2 linked regions of the Elephas maximus indicus genome follow. The protein of the gene in region 1 purifies or fractionates together with the protein of each later gene. This does not show direct contact. Links are inferred from orthologs where the notes say so. Each region holds a gene or a part of one and is shown in the gene's direction. Other genes may lie near its edges. The genes, in order: EYA4 and DCTPP1.

Evidence for each region.
Region 2: the proteins of EYA4 (region 1) and DCTPP1 purify together in Homo sapiens (affinity purification with mass spectrometry; 3 studies listed by BioGRID and IntAct, with this or other methods). This does not show direct contact. The link is inferred for Elephas maximus indicus from reciprocal best matches to the Homo sapiens genes EYA4 and DCTPP1.

The regions. Positions count from the first base shown.
Region 1 is NC_064819.1:202,611,365-202,623,165, forward strand, and holds the start of EYA4 (eyes absent homolog 4), read left to right. Parts: upstream 1-4,846; 5' UTR 4,847-4,887; intron 4,888-5,375; exon of another isoform or gene 5,376-5,728; intron 5,729-11,801. UniProt on the Homo sapiens protein: Tyrosine phosphatase that specifically dephosphorylates 'Tyr-142' of histone H2AX (H2AXY142ph). 'Tyr-142' phosphorylation of histone H2AX plays a central role in DNA repair and acts as a mark that distinguishes between apoptotic and repair responses to genotoxic stress.
Region 2 is NC_064830.1:89,691,123-89,702,923, reverse strand, and holds DCTPP1 (dCTP pyrophosphatase 1), read left to right. Parts: upstream 1-5,855; 5' UTR 5,856-5,860; coding exon 5,861-5,961; intron 5,962-6,628; coding exon 6,629-6,739; intron 6,740-8,434; coding exon 8,435-8,735; 3' UTR 8,736-8,917; downstream 8,918-11,801. Other genes in the region: ZNF771 (zinc finger protein 771), read right to left, coding at 11,677-11,801. UniProt on the Homo sapiens protein: Hydrolyzes deoxynucleoside triphosphates (dNTPs) to the corresponding nucleoside monophosphates. Has a strong preference for dCTP and its analogs including 5-iodo-dCTP and 5-methyl-dCTP for which it may even have a higher efficiency.

The DNA.
Region 1 (11,801 bases):
AATTTTGCTGAAGATCATTCAAAAGTGGCTGCAGTAGTATATCAACAGGGAGCTTCCGGAAATTCAGGTTGATTTCAGATGAGAATGTGCAACCAAGGATATCATTGCTGATGTCAGATGGATCCTGGCTGAAAGCAGAGAATACCAGAAGGATGTTTACTGGTGTTTTACTGACTATGCAAAGGCATTCGACTGTATGCATCATAACAAATTATGGTTAATGTTGGGAAGAATGGGAATCCCAGAACACTTAATTGTGCCCACAAGGAACCTGTACATAGATCAAGAGGCAGTTGTTGAGACAGAACAAGGGGATACTGATTGATTTAAAGTCAGGAAAGGTGTGCGGCAGGGTTGTATCCTTTCACCATACCTATTCAATCTGTATGGTGAGGAAATAATCCGAGAAGCTGGACTATATGAAGAAGAACGGGGCATCAGGATTGGAGGAAGACTCATTAACAAACTGCGTTATGCAGATGACACAACCTTGCTTGCTGAAAGTGAAGAGGACTTGAAGCACTTACTAATGAAGATCAAAGACCACAGCCTTCAGTATGGATTGCACCTAAACATGAAGAAAAATCCTCACAACTGGACCAATGAACAACATCACGATAAATGGAGAAAAAATTGAAGTTGTCAAGGATTTTATTTTCCTTGGATCCACAATCAACAAACCATGGAAGCAGCAGTCATGAAATCAAAAGATGCATTGCACTGGACAAATCTGCTGCAAAAGACCTCTTTAAAGTGTTGAAGTGCAAAGATGTCACCTTGAAGACTAAGGTGCGCCTGACCCAAGCCGTGGTCTTTTCAATCGCATCATATGCCTGTGAAAGCTGGACCATGAATAAGGAAGACAGAAGAAGAATTGACCCCTTTGAATTGTGGTGCTGGTGAAGATACCACAGACTGTCAAAAGAACAGACAAATCTGTCTTGGAAGAAGTACAACCAGAATGCTCCTTAGAAGCAAAGATTGTGAGACTGTGTCTTAACATACATTGGGCATGTTGTCAGGAGGGATCAGTCCCTGGAGAAGGCCATCATGCTTGGCAGAGTACAGGGTCAGCAGAAAAGAGGAAGACCCTCAACGAGGTGGATTGACACAGTGGCTACAACAATGGGTTCAAGCATAACAACTATTGTAAGAATGGTGCAGGACCAGGCAGTGTTTTGTTCTATTGTGCATAGGGTCACTATGAGTCAGAACCCACTCGACGGCACCTATCAACAACAGCAACTACATTTTAGGATTATTTTTACTATCATCCAGTGTTCTGTTTTCTTTTTTGGTGAATGTAGTGTCTTATTCCTTTTTTTTTTTTTTTAAAGCCTAAAGTCTGTTCCTACTAAAATGATGGCATAGTTTTTCCCCTCAGGCTGTTTTTAAATGAAATTAAAATAAAAGTTATGTTTTGGATTATAAGATCCTCGAGGGCTTTGTTTGTTTAATTTGATTTACACAGAACTCAATGCCAAAGCAGTGCCATGCACATTTGAAAAATAAACAAATAGTAGATGATAACGGCAGCACCATCTCGATCCAGAGGGCTTGGTTAAGGGAATTGCTAATAAGTGAGTCTTGTATTTCCACTGATTTTCACTTTAAAGTCAAAGATTTTTTTTCTCCCCTCCAAAAAATGTCCTTTCTCAGATTGGGTGGAACATTTATGGCTATTCTCATGGCCTGATTCATGTTATGCAAGACCTGCTGGTGTTTTTGAATCGCTTCTAGAATTTGGCAGCAGATTTCTAACGACAGAATTTCCCCACAAGTCCTTTCTTTCAGCCTCTTTGAGTTTCTCCCATTGTTCTTTTTCCTTTCTTATCTTTTTGCCTTTTGTTTGTTTCTTCAGGGTCTTGTAGAACTTTGTTGCAGTACCACACTTGGCCAGTAGATGCTGCCACTTCATGAGGTGTTACAGTCGAATAGCTTCTTGTTCAGTGGTTAACTCAGAACCCAGTGCCGTGGAGTCGATTCCGACTCAGAGCAAAAGTGTGTGTGTGTGGGAGGGGTGAGGTGGGGAAGACGAGAGAAGGGAGAGGGAGGATAATGCTAATTGGTACCATCTTTAGAAGTGTAATTTGTTTTTTTAATCATGTGCTTATGAATTATTTGAATCTTACCAGAAGTGTTTGCTTTGATAGTATGAAAAACAGTAAAAAAAAAAAAAAAAAAGAAAAGAAAACCAGTTTTAAAAAAAGACACCTGAGCTTCTGATACTTCAAGTAAATTTTAGGCAAGGAGATCAATAATTCAATACACACAGAATTTAAAAACTAATACCTAAAACTATCTTGAACCAACATTTTTCTCCAATAATGGGAAAGAAAGGCTGAAAATACATTTGAAGAGTCTAAGGGATATATGGAAACCCTGGTGGCATACTACAGCTGCTAACTAAAGGGTTGGCGGTTCAAATCTGCCAGGCGCTCTTTGGAAACTCTAGGAGGCAGTTCTACTCTGTCCTATAGGGTCGCTATAAGTCGGAATTGACTTGATGGCACTGGTTGGTTGGTTTTGATCAGAAGGTAGTAATAAGAAAAGGAATAACTGATATTGTCATACAATTGAGGGTTTGTGGATAACTTCTGCAAATGTATTCTTATGCAGATGTATAAAAAACTGTGGTGCAAAGTAACTTGGAAAGCAAGATCAATGTTGCTGGAAATCTAATAGTTTTAGAAGGGAATAAAGAGACATAGTAAAAAAAACCTATATTTGTGTTAATAGTATGATGTAGTGAATTATAGATTTTTATTTTATCCAAATTATGCATCTCCCCACCTTTATTTATCAGTAAAACTAACACATAATGTTTTGTAGCAGAATGAAATTAAAAAAAATATATGGTCTTATGAGGAGAGTATTAAGTTCAGCATTGTATTTAATTCTTAGGTGATATTTGCTATAGTAACCCCTGGTGGAGAAGCGGTTAAAGGGATCAGCTGGTAACCAAAAGGTTGGCAGTTCAAAACCACCAGCCACTCTGTGGGAGAAAGATGTGGCAGTCTGCCTTCACAGAGATTTACAGCCTCTGAAACCCTATGAGATCCCCATGAGATCACTAGGAGTCAGAATCAACTCAATGTCAGTAGGTTTATTTGCTATACCCACAGACCATTCTTAGGCACTGAATGATTCATAATACATTTAGGTAGCATATTTTGCCCATAATATGTTCCAAAACTAAACCCACTGCCATCAAGTCGATTCCAACTCCCAGTAATGCTATAGAACAGCGTTGAACTGCCCCATATGGTTTCCAAGGAGTGCCTGGTGGATTTGAACTGCCAACCTTTTGATTAGTAGCCGTAGCTCTTAACCACTATGCCACCAGGGTTTCCCTATAATATGTACACAGTAATAAAAAGAATGATCATTCTTCTGACTACTGCCACTAATAATAACACAATGGCTAAGAGTGGACTTTGGGGTTCCACAGAGGCTGGTTTGAATCTTAGTTCTGCTATTTATTAGCAAGTTGCCCCAAATTCTGAGCCCTCAGTTTTCTTGCCTATAAAATGTAGAGAATAAGATCTGTAAAATTAATTAAATCTGCTCATTGGTATTTTTCTCTTAAGTGTGTATTAACTGGCATTCCTCTTCAGTCCAGAATATGCTCTAGGCCATGCTCCGATTCCCCTTTGGGCCAAACCAATGCCAGACCCCTTCCTACCTTGAGAACCAGAAAAGGAAACGCTATGATTGGCAGTGCCCATGTCCTCTGAAATAAATATTCAGGAAAGAAGACACAGTGAGCGATGAGGGCCTCAAGAACACCCCTATCATTTTAAATTTATGACCCCACCTTTTCTGTTGCTCTTAATAATTGCAGAGTGATGCCCCACTAATTAAAAAATAAATTATAGCTGCACATATTCAATATTGGTTTTTGCTTTTGACCTTGACAGTCCTCATTCATGGTAGTTGCTAGCTGAAGTAGAAGATGATACCTTTTTTTGAACTTTTTTCACAATATAATTTAGTTGATAATATATTAAAATTACATTTTCTTTGAATGGCAGTAACTTCTACTGGTTAACTTGTGATCTCTTAGGCCACATCTAAAGCACTGTGGGTATTGTTTGTTGAATCATAGGCTTTGTGGTTAGAAATCTTGGGTTTGCCCTTGGGAAAGTTAGGTTTCTTTGGGCCTCGAATTCCTTATCTGTTATATGGACTTGAAAATAATAATCACGCAGAGTTGTGAAAATTAAACAAACTCACCTGTACCATAAGTGATCAGTACAATGACAACACTCAGCGAATTCTCAATAAGTTAAAACATTTTATTATTATGACAATCGAAGAAGAGGCTTCTAAAATTGACAGTGGGTTTTAGAAAAAGGGGATTAAATGGATGTGAAGTTTATGAATGGTTCTACTTTGCTGTGGTCACTGGTGTGATACACACACATGTGCATATAGAATATTAAATCCTGGATACATACATAATATATGCGCAGAAGGCTGAGGCATGAAATGTCATCTCAGCAATGTGCCTGGGGAAGCTCTGACGCTGCCTTGGAAGTCAGTCGTCACTGCCTGACCTTTGGCGTTTGGGAGGGATGCCTATACCTGCGCCCAGCACTGGAAGGGGCCCATGCCCTTCCCAGCACAGCCTGTCCTCAAACTGCTTACTCTTTTATAGCATGCATCTCCACGGAAAAGGCCTTTTCCTCGCGTCAGAGTGAGGTCTCCAGTCTGACGTGGGTTGGCTTTTATTTTACGTTGTTGCAAGTAGGCGAAGTTCCTTCTGTCTTCTCCCTCGGAGTAAGTGGAAAAGAGTCCGACAGGGGGCCCGCAGTGGCCCTCCAGCCAGGGACGTGGGTAGCGGGAGAGTTAGAGCAAATTCCGGGGACTGTCCCGGAGAAGCAGGTGGGGAAAGCGGCGGTTCCCTGGTCCCGGGAAGGGAGCGCGGCCGTGGGTCCCTCCCCTCAGCCATCAAGCTGCCGCGGCCGGCGCCAGGCGGGTGGGGGTAGGGTGGGGTGGGGGTGGCGCGGAGAGCGTGGAGATTACGGCGGCGCCACCGGGGACGCCCGGGGCCCCGAGGCCCCGAGGCCCCGAGGCCCCGGGTGGTCATCATTCGAGACCACGAACGGTGACAACAGGCAGTCACCCGAGGTCAAATAAAAAGGAGTGAGTCCCCCGTGCGTCGCCGCCGCCCGCGCCCCGGCTGACTGTCCCGGGGCCCCCGGTGGCCTCCTGTGCCCGCGGGCGCCGGCGGCGGCCCTTCGGTCCCCGCCCCGCGCGCAAGTGCGAGGCTGCCCGCGGCGCGGCGCACGCTCGGCCGCCACGGTTTCCGAGCACAGCTTCGTTGCGAGTCCACGTGAAGTTGTCGCTCGCATTCGAAGGGGAAGGGTGCTGTGGTCAAAGCTGGGGTGTGACGACTGCGGCGGCTGGGGCGCGCGCTCTTTTCCTTTTCTTCTACTTTTTTTTTTTTTTTTTTCCTGTCGTCAGTCAAGAGTTTTGGCTCCTCTCCTTCCCTCCACCCCCTCGGAGCCGGCTTCTACCCCCGCCCCGTTGCTCCCCGACTTGTGAACGCAGTTTGTTGGGGGGTGGCCGAAGGGGATGTCCTGTTTTCATCAGAGGCACAGCGCGAAGGGAAAACTCGGACATAGGAAGGAACAAGAATAAGTACCTAAATAGAGACTCGCGGATCTGCAGCTGGGACAGACACTTGAACTTCAGTATCCCGAGGCGGTCCGGGAGGCGGGAGGTGAGTGCGCCTTTCTTCTGACACCCTGCCGGGAGCTACAGGGAGGGGGGAGGACGGCCAGGTGCGGTAACCCCTAACTCTGCCGGAGAAAGTGCGCACGGCTCTGCCCGGGCGCCGAGCGCCGGGGTCGGAGGACACACTGCAGGACGATGTGCAGGCGCCAGAGTCCCCCCGGGCGGTCGCAGGCGGAGTACCCCACGCTCTAGGCCCTGCCAACTGAGACTGCACCGCGCGCTACGTCTTGGCGAACCCCGCACCCAAAGAGGGCTCTCTCCGAGCTGCGTGTCCAGCGCCGGGCCACAGCTAAGCCGGCGCGGAACCGGGTCGGCGGCCCCTCACCGTCCAGCGCTCCGCTCCTACCTGCGCCCCGAACCCGCCTCGCAGAGGATCGCGTACTAGGGTCTCCCCTGCATCCTTCTTGTGACAATATGTTGTGATGACCCCCTAGATTATCAGGCGTAAGGATGCGGACCCAGGGCCCGGTGGAGGGAACCAGGCGCCTGGGTTTTCCGATGCTTGATGGATTTGTACGTTCAGTGCTTGGGCTTGAAACTCCAGACACTTACAGGCTTTTAAACTGCAGTAATCCCACTTTAATTGTTTTCTGTGTGGCGTGGACCGACTGTCTCCTGGAGTTTGCCAGGGTCCTTGAAATTAGAGGCGCCTTTTTTTGTCAGAGGAGTAGCGTTCATTGGCTCGGGGTACGGATGCCATGGAGGGATTATACCTTCTCCAAACGAAGGGACCTGGCTGGAGAGAGTGGATTTTCTCTCGTTTCGCCTGCTGGGTGTAGGGTGGTTGTGGGACTCGCTTTTTAGCGTTGCTAAGCCTGGTTGGAAAGTAGACGGTGTGTATGCTTGTTTTATTCTGCGCCACCCAGGAACCAGAATTTTCGTTTAATAGCACTTAAAGGATTTCCGTTTCTTTGCATACGATATTCGGAACAACTCGTAGCTTTTGGAAAATTTGTGGAGGGAGTCCCTTGGCAGAGCAGTGGCGAAACCGGAGACCGCAGTTTAATTTTTGTCATCGCTTCCCTAGATGGAGTGGCATGTCTCCCCTCGCCACAACCACCCTGTCCAATTTCTTGACCCGCGAAGGCTAATTGGGCTTGTGCTTTGTGTGCGTGTGCGTGTGTGTGTGTGTGTGTGTGTGTGTGTGGTAGGGGCTGGAGGGGAGTTGTTTGGAGACGTCTTCGTTCCCCTTGCCCCAGGCGCCGCTTCTCTCGACTCCGGGAGCAAACAAGAGCGAGTCATTCATGAATCTTCACCTGAGGGCAGTCCAAGAAGGTGCAGGTCCTTCTGCCTGTTCTGGCAAGGTGCAAAATAGCGCCTGGGCGTGTGTTTTGGTTTCAGAACCATTCCACGTGGAGCACCTCCGTGTGCGTGCGTGTTGTGTACTTGATCTGCGAGGAGGTAACAGGAGTCTCGTGTTCAAACCCAGTGGGCCATTGGCCATTAATTTGCTTTCCTGGCTGTCATTACAGACGCTTCCAAAATCTGATACTTAAGAGAACCAACAGGTTAGGTTTCACATTAAGAGCTCATACCTAACAGTTTTCTTTCTCCCTTACCCCTTTTGGCTTGGCAGCCTGAGATCAACGTAATTGATGGAGCGAAATATATCTTCTCGAATATGCCATTTCGTTCCTTTCCTCACCAGCGGCCACTTTCTGGACTCTTGAAACGTTTGTCAGTTTCAGTGAGGGCTCCTACGGGGCTTAGGTGGGAGTCTTAGGAGAGTTTAACAACCGGGGACTGGGCATCGACAGCTTCTGAAGTTTCATTTACATCTACGCGACTGACAGTATTAAAAGTTGGCGACAGGTTTCTAATTGTTGAGTTGTTTTTGTTTTTAAAACTTCAAGACAAGGATTGTACTTGATAACCTTCCCCAAGTAGAACTACTCAGTGTTTCTGAGCAGAAACACTGCCTTTTTTTTTTTTTTAATAAGTATTTTTGGCAAGCTTATACCTGGAGAATCAACTGGGAAGGGGGGTGGAGTGAGAATTCTAAAACAAAATATTTGATAAATAGAATTTTAGAAGACTGCATTCAAACACATTTGTGTATTTTTACAAATAAAATTATAGCAAGAAATAAAAAGCGGTGGTAACAAGAGACAAACTGTTTTGTGTAGGGCTAGATTGCCAGAATCCGATTTTTATGGCAAAAATACCAAATGCAGATAAAACTGCACACACTTTTACTGTTGATTGTAAACCATAAAGAATAGTTTGTTCCACCTGATTAAAAGTTGTGAGTTATTCAAAGTTAAAACCTTGGACAGTTGTGGCTTTGAAAGTTTTAGTTAGGTGAAAACTGTTCTTTTTTCCCTGATTATTAGGGAGATGCCATTTTCTTTCATGGTGAAGTTTTAAAATCAGTGTGTTTTTCAAAAGCCTGTTTTCTTTTGTAAATTACCTCAAAATAATATGCTTCAACCTTTAAAAAAAATTTTAAAGGGCATTATAATTAGAAGTTGTTTCACAATTATAACTGGAATAAAAACATTTATTCAACTTTCTCTTTTTTAAATTAGTATTTATTTTATTGAATATTAGAAGCTTAATTTCTCCTTCCCAAAATGAAAATTTTCATATAGGTATAGATTCATAGCTAATATTTATTTTAAGTAATGTGTTCACATTTAAAAATTAAAAAAAAATTGCAGATTCGTATGAAAAGAGTTTGGTTCGAGAATGATCATTTTTATTAAGAAATACAGATGCCGAATTCTAAAGGATTTCTAGAAGCTGTTTGGAAAAAAATTATCTTTGCATAAAAATTTCTGTTTGGGAAACTGGCAGATGAGTGATTTGTCAGTTTGCTGTAATTTATTTTTTTCTATAAGTTTTTTTAAAACTTATTTAAAACACTTATTTTGGTTGCAAAAAAGAAATATAACTTCTCCATTTCTAAGAGTTTCCTTTTTGTTTATGTTGTGATTTGGGGTGTAAATAAATTTTACATAGCCACGGGAAATACAGTGTCCAGTTTCATGTTTTGAATCTCTGTTGCAAGCTCCAAATAACTGATGCCGTATCTAAAAATATATTTATGTGACTTGGTTTTTAATTTTTAAAAAAATTTTGTGCCCTGGAATTAAATTATCCAGTTTTTAGAAAATTAGAATGGATAGAAAAACCATAACCATTGTTATAAAAAGTTAGGTTATTGGCGATTCTACATTTTAACTTTCAAACAATGAAATTAAACTTTTTTCACCCAGTGGAAGCTCACACTTTTTTATGTAGAATTTGAGAAGAGGGGAGATAATCTTTTTCAAGACTTAGAGAAGTGTTAAGTAATTTAAGAATGCAAGTATTTTTTATGTTTTTTCATTATCTCTTTTTTTCTTTCTATTAGGTAGATGCAGGAACACTGAACATTCAGTAAAAACAGGCCCCCTTTCTAAGGAGTTTATTCACCATAGTTCTGCATTGCAGCTGCTGATCATATTTCATGGAGCTGTTAAAGCACTTAAGACCTAAAATTAGGTACTGTCTGGTTGTAAATATTTCAGATCACTCATTTAAGAAATAAATAGAAAAGCATGCTATCAAAAGTAGGGGATGTTTTGAATCCTCTCATTGAAGAGCTGAACAAACCTCTATCAAACACCTTTTTTCTGTCTCAGTGAGAATATAATCACCACAGTTTCTTTTTCAAATGGATATTATTCTTATATATTCTAAACTCTTATAATATGTCTCCCTGTAAAGTCTCATAAACTAATTGTATTCAGAAATACGGTGGGGGGGGATTTTATTACAATGGTTACTAGGTGAATGAAATCAACACCAGGAGGAATGGAATGGCATTGCAGTGTACCTGCCTCTCATGAATTTTTCCCGGTGAGCTAAGAAACAACATTCCCTTTTAGGCATTCGCCCTAGAGATGGGTCAGAGGCAACGGTGCATTTAATTGAAGTCTGTAATACTGGATTTTGCAGTTTGATGTATTTTAATGTAGGGACACTGCATATTCATTAAATGGAACCCCGAGCCAAATTTGGCGTCATTTAGCTTGAACTTGAGTGGAAGAAAATAAACAAGAATAACACATTCAAAAGCAGTGCAAGCAACTTGGATTGCTTTTAAGAGGATTGGAGACTTTGTAAACATTACTGTCACTTTATAGTGCTTATGGCACTGCACATTCATATATGCCTTGATGATACACCATTTTAGTCTTGAAGTTTGCTATTTTTGCCATATTCCCAGCCATGTTTTTACTAGTATGTAGAGAGGTTCTGAAAATGAGTACCCCTATTCTTATTCCCCTAACACCTTCCCTTCTTCCAGAAAAAGAGATGAAACTGATTAATTTAAAAATAGAAACCATTTTGAGTTATCAAAACCACATTTATGTGGTGGTTTAAAACAGTCTCAGAGTGTACACCTCTGTCTCACTGTAACCTTTTCTGTCATTGAAAGGTGCTAATTGATCTTAGTATAGTTTGATATTTGAAACCTTTCAGTGCTGGTCTGGCCCTTTTCTCACCCTGAGATTTCAGTGCACAGCTCTGATGAAGAAAGACAGCATATTAAAATGTCAGGACTTCTCATTTTCTTCCGATATGAAATATTTTAATACGACATATCCGTAATTTAAAAACTTTTATTTGCACACAGTAAGTAGATTTGTCTTAATGTACTTTTGGCCTCTGTGGGGGAAAAGCCCAGTATTATCATGTTAGGATGTTTTTAATATTATTTTTTAAAGAGGGAAGTTCTTCTAGGTTGAAAATTTAAGGAAAGTCTGATTGCCGTTATTACATCTGAGTACTTCCAAAATTAAATTGCACTACATCAAAGATAGAATGGCCATCTAGAAATTTCATATCTAAGCACGTGGCTACTTAAAGTATATTTTAAAACAAAAATTATCAGTTTATTCTTTAGGTAGTTGCAGTTTTGTTGTCTGCGTATGTTGTCTTCATTGTCATCAACACCATTGTCACCGTTAAAACATCGTAGGTAACATTTACTGAGGATTTACCTTACGCAAAATATTGTTCTGTCTATATGGATTAGCTAATTTTAATCTTTCCAACCATACCATAAATTAGGTTTCTTTTATTATTCCCATTTAACAGAGAAATAAGCTGAGACTTAGTCACACAATAGGGTAGATCCAGGATCCTAACATGGCAATCAGACTCCAGAGCCCCTCCTTAAGTATTGTGGCCAGGCAGCTGTCCCCATTATTTGTATATAAAGTCAAATTTTCAGTGATAACCAAGCAAGCATTTTATTTTTGTTATTAGTTATGTATCTACTTCTAAGGGTATTAGAAAAATATGTTAATTTCACATTAGATCTCTAATTTCGTGAATAATATTGCTTAAGACAAGGCTAAAAAAAGCATTGAAGTGAAAATACTAAAAAAAAATTTTGTGGTGTTTAAAGAAACATACTACTTAGTAACAATAATACAAATGCCAAAATGGTGACAAAATCATAAAAATTGCTTGCAAAGGACTGAATTGGGAGAAACACTGCTAGTGTGTGCTGCATCCCAAACATAAGAACTTAGGACCATCTCTTTTTGTAATAGTTTACTTACATGAAGAATTTTTCTGCGCTTTTCAAGTCTTATCCATTGAGTAGATGTTAATAATTTTGCATTTATTATTTTTTTTCCGGTTGCTTTAAGTCTGAATGCTGGTTATGAATCTGACATCCACACATTTGTGTTGAACCAGCCGATAAGGAATGAGGACGGCTAATGGATTTCTAGAGGCAGGAGTAAATTATAATGAAATCACACACATAGTTTTGACAAACTTTCCATTTATAAGGATATCAAACTTTGGATTTTTAAAATTACCTCTAGGTAAACAGTTTTGTTTTGCTGCGAATAATGTTTTAAAACTTGTAGGCCTTTTTCTACTAAAGCAGTGCTCTTCATTCTTTCATTTTTATTTGTTTATGTATTTGTGTATTATGTATTTATGTATTCAGCCACAACCCCTTTATCCAAGTGAAAGCCGATGCTATGCCTGCCTGAGAAATGTGCTAGAGCTCTGATGTGGACGACCCTGAGAATTATTCCCCAATGTTGCCT
Region 2 (11,801 bases), on another chromosome or scaffold:
CATATAAACAGCAGAATATACATCAACTCAACACTTTTTACACATAAAATTCAGTGACACTGATTACATTCTTCTGGTTGTGCAACTGTTCTCACCCTTCTTTTCTGAATTGTTTCTCTCCCATTAATACAAACTCATTGCCCCCTAAGTTTCCTATGTAATCTTTTGAGCTGCTGTTGCTGTTGTCAGTTTGATCTCATTAGATAAATCTTAAGAGCACAATGCTGAAGGCAAACATTCTTTTTTTTATTGTGCTTTAAGTGAAAGTTTACAAATCAAGTCAGTCTCTCATACAAAAATTTATATACACCTTGCTATATACTCCTAATTGCTCTCCCCCTAATGAGACAGCACACTCCCCTTCGCTGTCCCCTTTTTGTGTCCATTCAGCCAGCTTCTGCCCCCTCTGCCCTCTCATCTCCCCTCCAGACAAGAGATGCCAACATAGTCTCATGTGTCTACTTGATCCAAGCAGCTCATTCTTCACCAGTATCGTTTACTATCCCTTTTTCGAGTCCAATCCCTGTCTGAAGAGTTGGCTTTGGGAATGGTTCCTGTCTTGGGCTAACAGAAGGTTTGGGGACCGTGACCACTGGGGACATTCGAGTCTCAGTCAGACCATTAAGTCTAGTCTTTTTACGAGAACTTGGGGTCTGCATCCCACTGATCTCCTGCTCCCTCAGGGGTTCTCTGTTATGTTCCCTGTCAGGGCAGTCATCAGTTGTAGCTGGGCACCATCTAGTTCTTCTGATCTCAGGCTGATGTAGTCTCTGGTTTATGTGGCCCATTCTGTCTCTTAGGCTCATAATTACCTTGTGTCTTTGGTGTTCTTCATTCTCCTTTACTCCAGGTGGGTTGCGACCAATTGATAAGGCAGACATTCTTTACTAATTAAGCTAAACTATTTTTTTTATTATTATTGTTTGGTTTTAAGAAGACATCAGGGGAGTATTTCTGCTTTAAGGTTTAAAAATTATCTCAGGGCAACAGTTTCAGGGATTCATCCAGTCTCCATTGCTCCAAGAAGTCTGAATTCCATGAGAATTTGAAATTATTTTCTGCATTTTCCTCCCTTTGGCCCCTTTTAATCAGGATTCTTCTATAGAATCTTTGATCAAAATGTTCAGAAATGGTAGCTGGGCATCATCCAGTTCTTCTCGTCTCAAAGCTGGACAATGAATAAGGAAGGCCAAAGGTGTTGATGAAGAATATTGACTATATCATGGACTTCCAGAAGAAAGAACGAATCTGTCTTAGAAGAAATATAGCCAGAGAGCTCCTTAGAAGCAAGGATGGCGAAACCTTGTCTCACACAGTTTGGACATGTTATTAGGAGGGACCAGTCCCTGGAGAATGACGTCTTGCTTGGTAGAGTGGAGGGTCAGCAAAAGAGAGGAAGATCCTCAACAAGATGGACTAACACAGTGGCTGCAACAATGGGCTTAAACTTAGCTACAATTGTGGGGATGGCACAGGACCAGGTAGTTTTTCGTTCTGCAGTAGTTAGGGTTGCTTTCAGTCAGAACCAGTTTGATGGCACCTAACAACAGCATAGCAAAGGAGGCAATTGTTCATGGAGGCAATTAGCCACACACCCATTTTCTCCTCCTGTTTCCGACTTTCCTCTGCCCCTGTTGCTCCAGGTGAATAGAAACCAATTGTTGTACCTTTGGTGGCCACTTGTAAGCTTTTAAAGCCCCAAGCACTATGCAACTAGGAGATAGAACAGAAGCATTAAACACATTATTAGGCCAATTAACTGGGATGTCCCGTGAAATCATAACCCTAAACCTCCAAACTGAGAAACCAAATCCCATGGTTGTACATAAGCAGCCTTAGGAGCTATTCTTTTGTTGTTGATGATGTTGTTTTGTTGTAAATATATCTATCACATAGCTTTTTCCAGTTCAACTTTTTACAGATGTATAACTTATTGACAGAAATTACATTAATTGGCTGTGCAACCCTACCCTTAACTCGATTTTCCCATCACTGTAAACTGAAACTCAATAGTCTATAAGCAATAACCCCCCTTTCCCCTCCCTACCACCCCTGGGAACCACTAATAAACTTTGGTCTGTATACATTTGCCAGTTCTTGTCTTTTCATATAAGTGAGGTCATACAATGTTTGTCTTTTATGATTAACTTATTTCACTAGCATAATACCCTTCAAGCTCCATCCACATTGTAATATGTATCAAGATTTCATTTCTCTTCCTGGCTGAGTAGTATTCCATTACCATGATCTCTTGCATGGACAACTGTAATAACTTCCTTAACTGGTCTTTCTGCTTCCTCTTACTCTCCTCTAATTCATTCTCAACACAGCAGCTAGAAAGCTCATAAATATAAAATATGATCATATCACTCCCCTGCTTAAAACTCTCCAGAAGATTTTCATAATACTTCAAATAAAATCCAACTTAAAATCCATGGTTGACAAGGCTCCTTTTGATCTGGCCTCAGTTTACTTCTCCAATGCCATATGCAACCATTATTCCCCGTCCCACGCTGGAATTCTTTTTGACTTTAGAACATGCCAAGACTTTCCATTGGTTGCTTTCTCTACCTAGAACTTGATTCATCATGATTTTTGCTCAGCTTAAATGTCACTTTCTCAAAGGCAAGTATCAGAAAACCCAACTAAAAGTAGATTTCACCTATTAAGAGATTCATTATCTTAAATAACCAGAACCCCTAGTTCAGGCATTTCTGGAGTTGTAAAGGAAGTGGCTTGGCAATGTTATCAAGGATCCAGGTCCTTGCTGATCTGCCAGTCTCAGCCTATGGCTAGCTCTCCTCACATTCCTATCCTCACATACCAACATCTAAAGTTAGAAACATCCTGTGTCTTTTTTTTTTTTTTTTTTAAAGAATTAAGAACCTTTACCAGAAATCCCCACAGACTTCTTCTTACTTGTCATTGTCAAGAACTAGGTCAATGCTCACTCATAAACCAATGGCCAAGGCAATGAGACCACAATGATTTGTAGAACGAATTGGGGAGGAGTGGACCCCAAAACAAAATCATGGTTCTGTAAAAATGCAGAAGGGGGAAAGACAGTTAAGTAGGTAACCAACAGTATCTATCACATCTTCCCTGGACCATGTAATCTAAAAAAGAAAAAAAAAAAAATCTAAAGTTGCCCCCAATCATTTTTCATAGTGTTTAAAATACCATAACATTTAAAATTTTCTTCATATACTTATCATTCCAAAAACCAAAACCAAATCCAGTGCCATCGAGTCACAGCGACCCTAAAGGACAGAGTAGAACTGTCCCATAGAGTTTTCAAGGAGCACCTGGCAGATTCAAACTGCCGACCCTTTGGTTAGCAGTCGTAGCACTTAACCACTACGCCACCAGGGTTTCCGACTTACCATTATCTGAGGCAATATACTGAAGCATGCTTAATAACACAAACTCTGAAGTCAAACTGCCTAGATTTGAAACCTGGCTCTACCACCTTATTAGATATTGATATTTTTGTTTGTTTAATATCTTATTTATTTTTGGTGGCAATATACACAACCAAACATACACCCACTCACAATTTCCACGTGAACAGTTCAACAACATTGGTTACGTACTTCACATTGTATCGTCATTCCATCTCTATCCAGATTGTTTCATCACCATTAATTTAGGCTCTCTGCCCCTTGAAGTTCTCATCTGTGCTTTAGATTAACTGTTATCAGTTTACACTCATATATTCTTTATAAGAGCGCCATGCTTGAGGCAAAACCCATTGCCGTTGAGTCAATTCCACTCATAGTGACCTGATATGACAGAGTAGAATTGTCCCATAGGGTCTTCCAGGAGCGGCTGGTGGATTTGAACTGCCAACCTTTTGGTTGGCAGCTGAGGTCTTAACCACTGTGCCACTGGGAGCCCCGGTGAACAAAAAGTTCAGCAGTTCGAATCCCGCAGCCACTCCTTGGAAACCCTATGGAGCAATTCTACTCTATCCTTTAGGGTTACTATGAGCCAGAATCATCCAGACAGCAAGGGGTATGCTTGAGGCAAGTATTAATTGGGCTAAACTGTTGTTTACTTTAAGAATGGCTTCATGGAGTAGTTTAGGATCTAGATATTGATCTTGAATAAGTTACTTTACTTCTCTCTTCCTTATCTATAAAATGGGAATGATAATATTACCTAACTCACAGTTTCTGTGAGGACTGTATAAGAATATATGCAAAATGCTTAAAACAGCTACTCCAGTTCCAGTTTATTCCTGAGGCCGAACTATATCCCAAAGGACATTCTTGTTCCTTATGATAAATTCCCCTTTCTTGTTCAAACCAGTTCAAACTTGTTTCTGTTGCTTGCATTCAATGTAATGGAACTGTATGAATTTATCTCAATGTACTCATTGTTCTGTTGATGGCCATTTGGCTTATTTCAATTTTTCACCATTACAAACGAGACTGCAATAAACTTCTTGTATGCATATACTTGTATATATATATATGCACTATTTTCCCTCGGGGAAACCCTGGTAGTGTAGTGGTTAAGTGCTATGGCTGCTAACCAAAAGGTTGGCAGTTTGAATTCACCAGGCACTGCTTGGATACTATGGGGCAGTTCTACTCTGTCCTATAGGAATTGACTCAACAGCAGTGGGTTATTTTCCCTCGGGTATATACCTAGAAGTGGAACTGCCACACCTTGGGGATCTTAATTTCTAAAATCGGACTCTCCACCATTTCCTTCACTTTCTTATTCTTTCACTTCCACCAAACTCCAGGCCTCTTTAAACTCCTGGAGAGCCAAGATAGTGGCCCTTAGTAGACAAGTAATGATTTACACCACTAAACCTGTTCTTGGGTTTTATCTCTGCTCTTTCCATTAACAATAACTCAGCGGTTCTTAGATTTGAAATAACAATTCCACAGTTTGTCAGCTCATAAATCCTCTAATGTAAATGAGCTTGGGGTCTTCAGAGAACCAGAAGAAGGCTTTGCTTGCTGTGTGTAATATGTGGGGGGCGGTCAAACAGTGACTCAAGAGGCTGGATAGGTGGACCACAGCAGGCCATGTGTTCCAGGGCCCTGTCATCTACACTGAGGGCAGGGAGGAGGGCCGATTGATTTCTTCCCTTAAGGCCAGTAACCTGAGCTAAGTCCTTCCAAACACAGGAAACAGCTGGGGTAGGGAACCGAAGTGGGACTAAAGGCCTGGGTCCTAGTCCTGTCTGACCTTGAGCCGCTCTTTCCTCTCAATCTCTTCCAAATAGTGTGGTGGAGGTCTTGAGCGGGTACTCCGTGTCCGTAAACCCTGAGAGATCTGAAACCAAAAAACTGGTTGCTGTCAAGTCGATTCCAACTCATAGCGACCCTACAGGACAGAGTGGAACTGTCCCAAAGGGTTTCTAAGCGGCGGCTTGTGGATCCGAACTGCTGACCTTTGGTTAGCAGCTCTCCATCTCTGGGATTCTCCACGGAGCCCTTCATTTCTGAGTCCTACTTTTCTGGAGTTCCCCACACATGCCCCCTCCTATTTTGCTTTGGCGCCATCTGGCGCTCACAGGGGTAGTAATGCGCCTACGCTCCCACTTCCCCCTTTTTTTTTCCTCTTTTGTCTCGTCCCGTTGTACCTGTATCTTTAAGATGCCCGGCCAACAGGGAAGGATTCGAGCGCGGTGCTGACAAGCCATCTCTAGAAACTCCCTCAGATTGGTCCAGCCCGGGTAAGGGGGCGGGCTGTAGCAAAAGCTACATAAGTCATTGGTCTTTCCTCGGGCTCCGCCCCATGAAGCAATCGGGAACGCCCGTGATTGGTCAGGGGCTCTTTGGGCTGGGCCCTTGGTGCATGGTTCTACGGTACTTTTAGGAGCTGCGGCGGGGTGGGCGGCATGTCTGGTGTCGGTGGGGACACGCATGGGGGAAAGGGAGGGGAGGGTGGTGTCTGTGCCGGCCCGTTCAGCTTCAGTTCGGAACCCACGCTCGAGGACATGTAAGCAGTTGTTGCCCATCCCAGGCTAGGGAGAGCAGCTTTCTCCCTCCTAATGGGGGAGGGTCCCTCCACGTGGTCGGAAAGAAGGCCAGCAGCGGCGCTAGCGGCTGCTGGTTGACCTCGGGCGAGCCTTCTGACCTCATTTGCAAAATGGGCGCAGCAGTGCACACCTGAGGCAGGGGAAATTGGGTGACGCTCCGTGAGTAATACTAGGATCATCCTTATGCCCAGCCCTGGGGAGATACCGGAGTCGGACACTGCCTGTGCCCACCGAGAGTAGGGGGTAGGACAGGGGCAAATGAAATGCTGAGAAGTAGGAGATACTCTTTCTTGCTGGAGAAAATCAAGAAAAGGCTTCTTAGGGGAAGCGGCCCTGGTGCTGCGCTCTGCAAGATAAGTAGAATTTAGAACCACGTTCCAGGTGGAGAAGATTACAGAAGCTGCAGCAGGAGGTGGAATATTGGGGAAGAGGGTGAAGTTTGGCTAGAGTTTAGGGACGCACCATTTTATAGATGAAGAAACCAAGTCTCACAGAGAAGAAATCACTTGCCCAAGTCCATCCAGGGAATTAGTTGCAGAATTCGCTGATGCCCACGTCCCCATTACTGCCTTGGCTCTGTTTCTCCTCCCTGGGACCCTGGGCTTCCACCCCTTTGTCCTATTCCAGCCGCCGCCTCCATGCTGAGTTCGCTGCTGAACGAGACTGGGACCAGTTCCACCAGCCTCGGAACCTCCTCCTGGCCTTGGTGGGGGAAGTAGGGGAGCTGGCAGAGCTCTTGTAAGTAAATGGAACGCTTCCCGGAAGAGGTTATGCGGGGGGGGGGGGGGGGAGCATTTATTTGATTATCAAACAGTCATGGGTTCAGTTTCTCCTCCACAATCTCAGGCTGTGTGCGTGGTACTAGGGATACAGAGATGACTCATTCAGTCCCTGCCCTCTAGGGGCGTCCAGTCTCCTGGGACAGAAAAGTATGAAAACAGCAAGGCTGATCCAGGTTTGAGAAGAGGGGGTGGCAACAACTTTACTTCTTGCCTCTGGGAAGGAAGAAAGGAAGGTGGTATCCTCTAGAAGACCTGCCTGTGGCATTCTAGAGAGGGAGAAGTACTTTTGCACAGTTAATGAGGCTGGAAAGGGAGAATCTGATACAACTTTAGTGTAAAGAAGAGCAGAGGTTTGTATGTTTTGTTCTGTGGTGTGTCTCAAGTGTCTGGCATACAATTAAAGCACTCAGTTATCTATCGAGTGAGTGATAGAGCTGTGGAGAAGAGGGGTGGGAGAGGAACCCGGAAAGATAGGATTGGACTGGTAAGTGATAGAGGTTGGGCAGGGGACCTGACCTAATGTGGGTTGTAGAAAGACCACTGTGCTGCAGTGCAGACTGGATCACAAAGAGAAGGGGGTCTGGGAGACCAGTAAGGAGGATGGTATAGACCAAGCAAGAAATGGTGAGGCCTGGACCAGGGCAGTTACTGGGGCTGGAAAAATGAGGGCACAGGTATAAGTGTGTGGAAACAGAGGGCAAGCCATTCATTCATTACAGATGTATGAGCATCACCTGTGCGCTAGGTCATCTAGCCTCAAGGGGGTCTCGAATAAGACAGGCACAGTTCCTACCTTCACGCAACTGACGTTTTCATGGGAGGAGACTGACAATAATTCAACTAATTTAAAAAGATCTGGAATTGTAACAAATGCTGTGAGGAACATAAAAGGCAATGAGAGAAGGTAACTGGGAGGAAGAAGGCTTTTCTGAGGAGGTGACATCTGAGGTGAGATCTGAACAACAGGAAAGAGTCCGCCATGGAAAAGGATGGGGGGTGGGGCATTCAAAGTAGAAGGAGCAGTAAGTGCAAAGGCCCTGTGACAGCATGGCATGTTTGTGAGACAGAAAAGAGTGGCTTTAGGTGAGGAGGGAGAGCGGGGGGTGGGGGTCAATGACATTTGAAGAGTCAGGGAGTCAGGCAGGCAGGGCCTAGGGGACATGGTTAGGGGTGGATTTTACTCTAAGCACTGTAGAGGTTTAGCAGGAGAGGGATAAAATGTAATTTGTGCTTTTAAAAGATGGCACAGTGCAAGAGTAGAAGTAGGGAGATGAGTTCTGCGGTAGTCCAGACCTGAGGTTTGGTCACTCTAACAGTGGTAGGGCTGGAAAGAAGTGGAATTGGGTCTCAAAGCTGTGTCTGAACAAGTGAAATGTTCTCCTTTCTGCTTCTTGGCTCAGGTAGGGGACACAGAGGTCTGGGTGGATCATCTGTTGAGGTCTCTTCCTCACCCTCACTTGGCCCAGATGTGTTGGATTGCCTTGGAGGAACTTCTTGGGGGGGGGGGGGGCGGGTGGTGTGTGTGTGTGTGTGTGTCTGTGTGACTGTGACTGTGTTTATCCCTGCAAGGACTGAGGTACTTCTGAGAGACAAGGAGCCCATTGTCTTAGCTAGCATCTTTGTATGTCTGTCTGTGTGTTCTTCTCCCCAGTCAGTGGAAGCCGGATGAGGAGCTTGGACCCCAAACCTGGCCTACCAGGGAGCGGGCAGCCCTTCAGGAGGAGCTTAGCGATGTCCTCATCTATCTGGTGGCATTGGCAGCCCGCTGTCGAGTGGATCTGCCCCAAGCAGTGCTCTCCAAGATGGACACAAACCGGCGACGTTACCCAGTCCATCTGTCCCGTGGCTCTGCCTGCAAATATACGGACTTGCCCCATGGGTCTGTCTCCGAAGACCAGGTGGTAGGGCCTACAGACCTCACCTGTGAGTCCACGGGCCAGGCCTCCACCTAGACACGTGGGCACAGGACGTGCAACTCAGCACAGAATCTGAGAAGCAGAAGGTAGCCTGGTTACAGAACTTTCTGGTCCTTTCTTAACAGATCATGCGCCTGGAGGCCCCACTTCCTGAGGTCTGAGGCCCAGGGACCTCTGGAAAACAGCCTCCTGTCTTCTCTCCCAATAAAAGTTTTCAGCAGCAACCTCTGGTTTCTTCCTGGGGTCACTGGGGAGGCTCTATTTTCAGCAGGTGCTGGAGAGGGGCACCAGGGATGTGTCAGCCCCTTAATCCCCATGTTTCTCCATTGTCCCTCCTACCTGCAGGGCAGAAAAACCTAATTTCTAGCAAATTCTAGTGCCTTCTCAGTTATGGGCTTATAAAGGAGGCTGTAGGTAGTACTGGAAACCCTGGTAGCATAGTGGTTAAGAGTTTGGCTGCTAACCAAAAGGTCAGCAGTTCGAATCCACCAGGTGCTCCTTGGAGATCCTTTGGAGCAGTTCTACTCTGTCTTCTAGGGTCATTGAGTTGGAATCAACTCAGTAGCAATGGGTTTGGTTCTTCTTTTTGGCTATATAGTATTGGTTAAGAGCCCAGATTCTGGAGCCAGGCAGTTTGGGTTCAAATGCCATCTTTGACACTCATCTTTCTGTGCCTTGGTTTTCTCATCTGTAAAATGAAAGTAACAGTACCTACCTGATAGCTGTGTTACTACACGCAGAGTGTACAGGACACACTTGGCATATAGTAAGTACTTTGTGAGTTTGCTGTTATTGTTATCATCTGTTTGCCTTTTCAACTCAACTTTCAGGGGCCCAGAGCAGAAAATGCCCACAGCTAAGGCAGGTGGGTTAAGGCAGGCCTTGCCCCCCAGACCGCAGCCTTGTCCATTGGGATCCCAGTCCTGTATGATCCCTCTACCCTTCTCCCTTGATTCCCAGCACCAACTGGGGCCAGATCTCTTCCCTTGGGCTTGGGCCCATTTGAAAAAGCAGAGACCCCTGCCAAAGCCAATTTCTTGTTCCCCTTCTTGGCCTAAAGATAGCATTGGGTGTGCGTAGTTTACCTAGTGTGACCTTAGGCACATCCTTTTCTGAGACTTCTGTAGCCTGCCTCCACAGGGTGGGGTGATACAGGGGGAAAGACCTCTGAAACACTTACAGGACTCACGGTCACTGACTTGCTGCCCGTCTGTTTCCCCATTAGTAAAATGAGACGTTCCCCTTTACTGGCCTCACTCCTCTTACCTCTCTTAACCAATGATCTCTATTTGTACTTCCCAGGTACAGAAGAATCCATCAGATGGGAACTGTTTCAGCTTTGGGCCCCAAACCTACCTTTTTTCTTCCTCTTGTGATAACAGAATCCTGTTCTTGCTGATCTCTGATTTCATCCCCTCTCCCTTAATCAGCTTCTCTCCCTTTTCACTAGCCCTTCCTACCAGCACGTTCAAGTCTGTTCCCTACTGGCAAAACAAACCCAACAAATTCTCTCCATACTTTTCCCAGCCCTACCTCACGAAAGGCTTGTCTACGCTCCTAACTGCTTGCTCATATCCATTTATGCCCTAACCTACTCCTGGCTGGCTTTCACCCCCACTCCTCTATTGAAACTACTGCCATTGCTTTCCTGTACACATGACAAACGCAGTGACACCAGAGCAGCATTGGACTGAGCTGACCACTCATTAGACACTTTCCACTCCACATTTCCTACCTCTGGCTGTTCTTTACAGACTCTTTTTGGGTGCTCTTCAGGATCTAACGTCATGCACTGCAGGCCTGATACATCCAAGCTGTTATGGTCCATTCATCTTACACTCAACATGTTCAGATGGGGGTCTAACAACTGACCCCACTTCTGTTCCAGTCCTGCCCCTCCTTCTGTGTCCCTGTCTTAGTGATACTGTCCTGCAATTACCCAAGCTAGGCAATGAAGTCAGCCCCATCTCCTTTCCCTCATCCCCAGATACACTGTAGGCTGCTACAGATGCCAGCTCTTTAATTGGACAAATCCATCCCTTCCTAATCCCTCAAGGCTTCTTTGCTGCCGTGGATCCTTTAAACTTGGCTTCCAAGGCCCCCAGTGGTTTATCTCCTGCCAAACTCCCTGCTTTAGGTCCCCACATCCCACCCCAGGGGATGGCTGCAAGTTCAGTTTGGGGGCTGCCTCCATACTCCCCCAACCCTAATACTCTGGACCTTCAAGACCCAGCTTAAACATCATTTTCTCTAAAAGCCTCCCTAGACTCCAAAACTGCATTGGAGATCCTCCTATCCAATTACTTCCCCCATCAGAGCTCCAATGCACTAGACTACCGTTGCCCGCTGTCCCTGCTCTGCCATTCACGTTTGTCAATATGGAGATAAAAGACATACCTTAGGATGTTTTGAGGGTGAAGATGAGCAAATATATTTAAATGAAGCACAGCGTTTAACATAGTGCTATAAAGTTTCTACTACTGTGTCACCATCCGTAGACAGCTCCATAAGGTTCAAGCTTTGCAGAACACAGAGCCGTTTGTAACCAAGAGCCAAGTGTTGGATGACCCGGCCCCACACACACACACACACACACACACACGTGCACGCGCACACCCTGCCCCAGGAACCCTTTGGGGCTTAATCCCCCTCCTAGCTCCCTAACTACTCAAGTCACCTAAGCCTTGGGAAAATGCCAGCCTTCCTCCTTTTCCCCCCACCCACCTCATTCACAGGCACGGGTGGGGTGAAGATATAATACTTTATTCACTAACACGGCCAAAGAAATACGGTGAGGGGGAGATGGGCAGTTCCCAGGGGCCCGTCAGGGTTTCTCTCAGTTCCAGGGCAGCCAGGCCTTCCCACTTCCCCAGGCCCCTCCCTAGGAGTGTCCACGTTACTGCTGCCTCCAAGTCGGGGCTCCATCATGCCCCTTCCGAGCCAAACGCCCACAGCCCTGCGGCAACAGGAAGGCGGCTCAGCTGCCCTCGCACTCGGGACAGCGCTCTGTGGCAGTCGCAGCCGTGGCGCCAGCGGGTAGCTTGAAGTCCCGGCCGCATCCGGCGCAGATAAACAGGCGACGCCGCATGTGCGCGCGCCGGT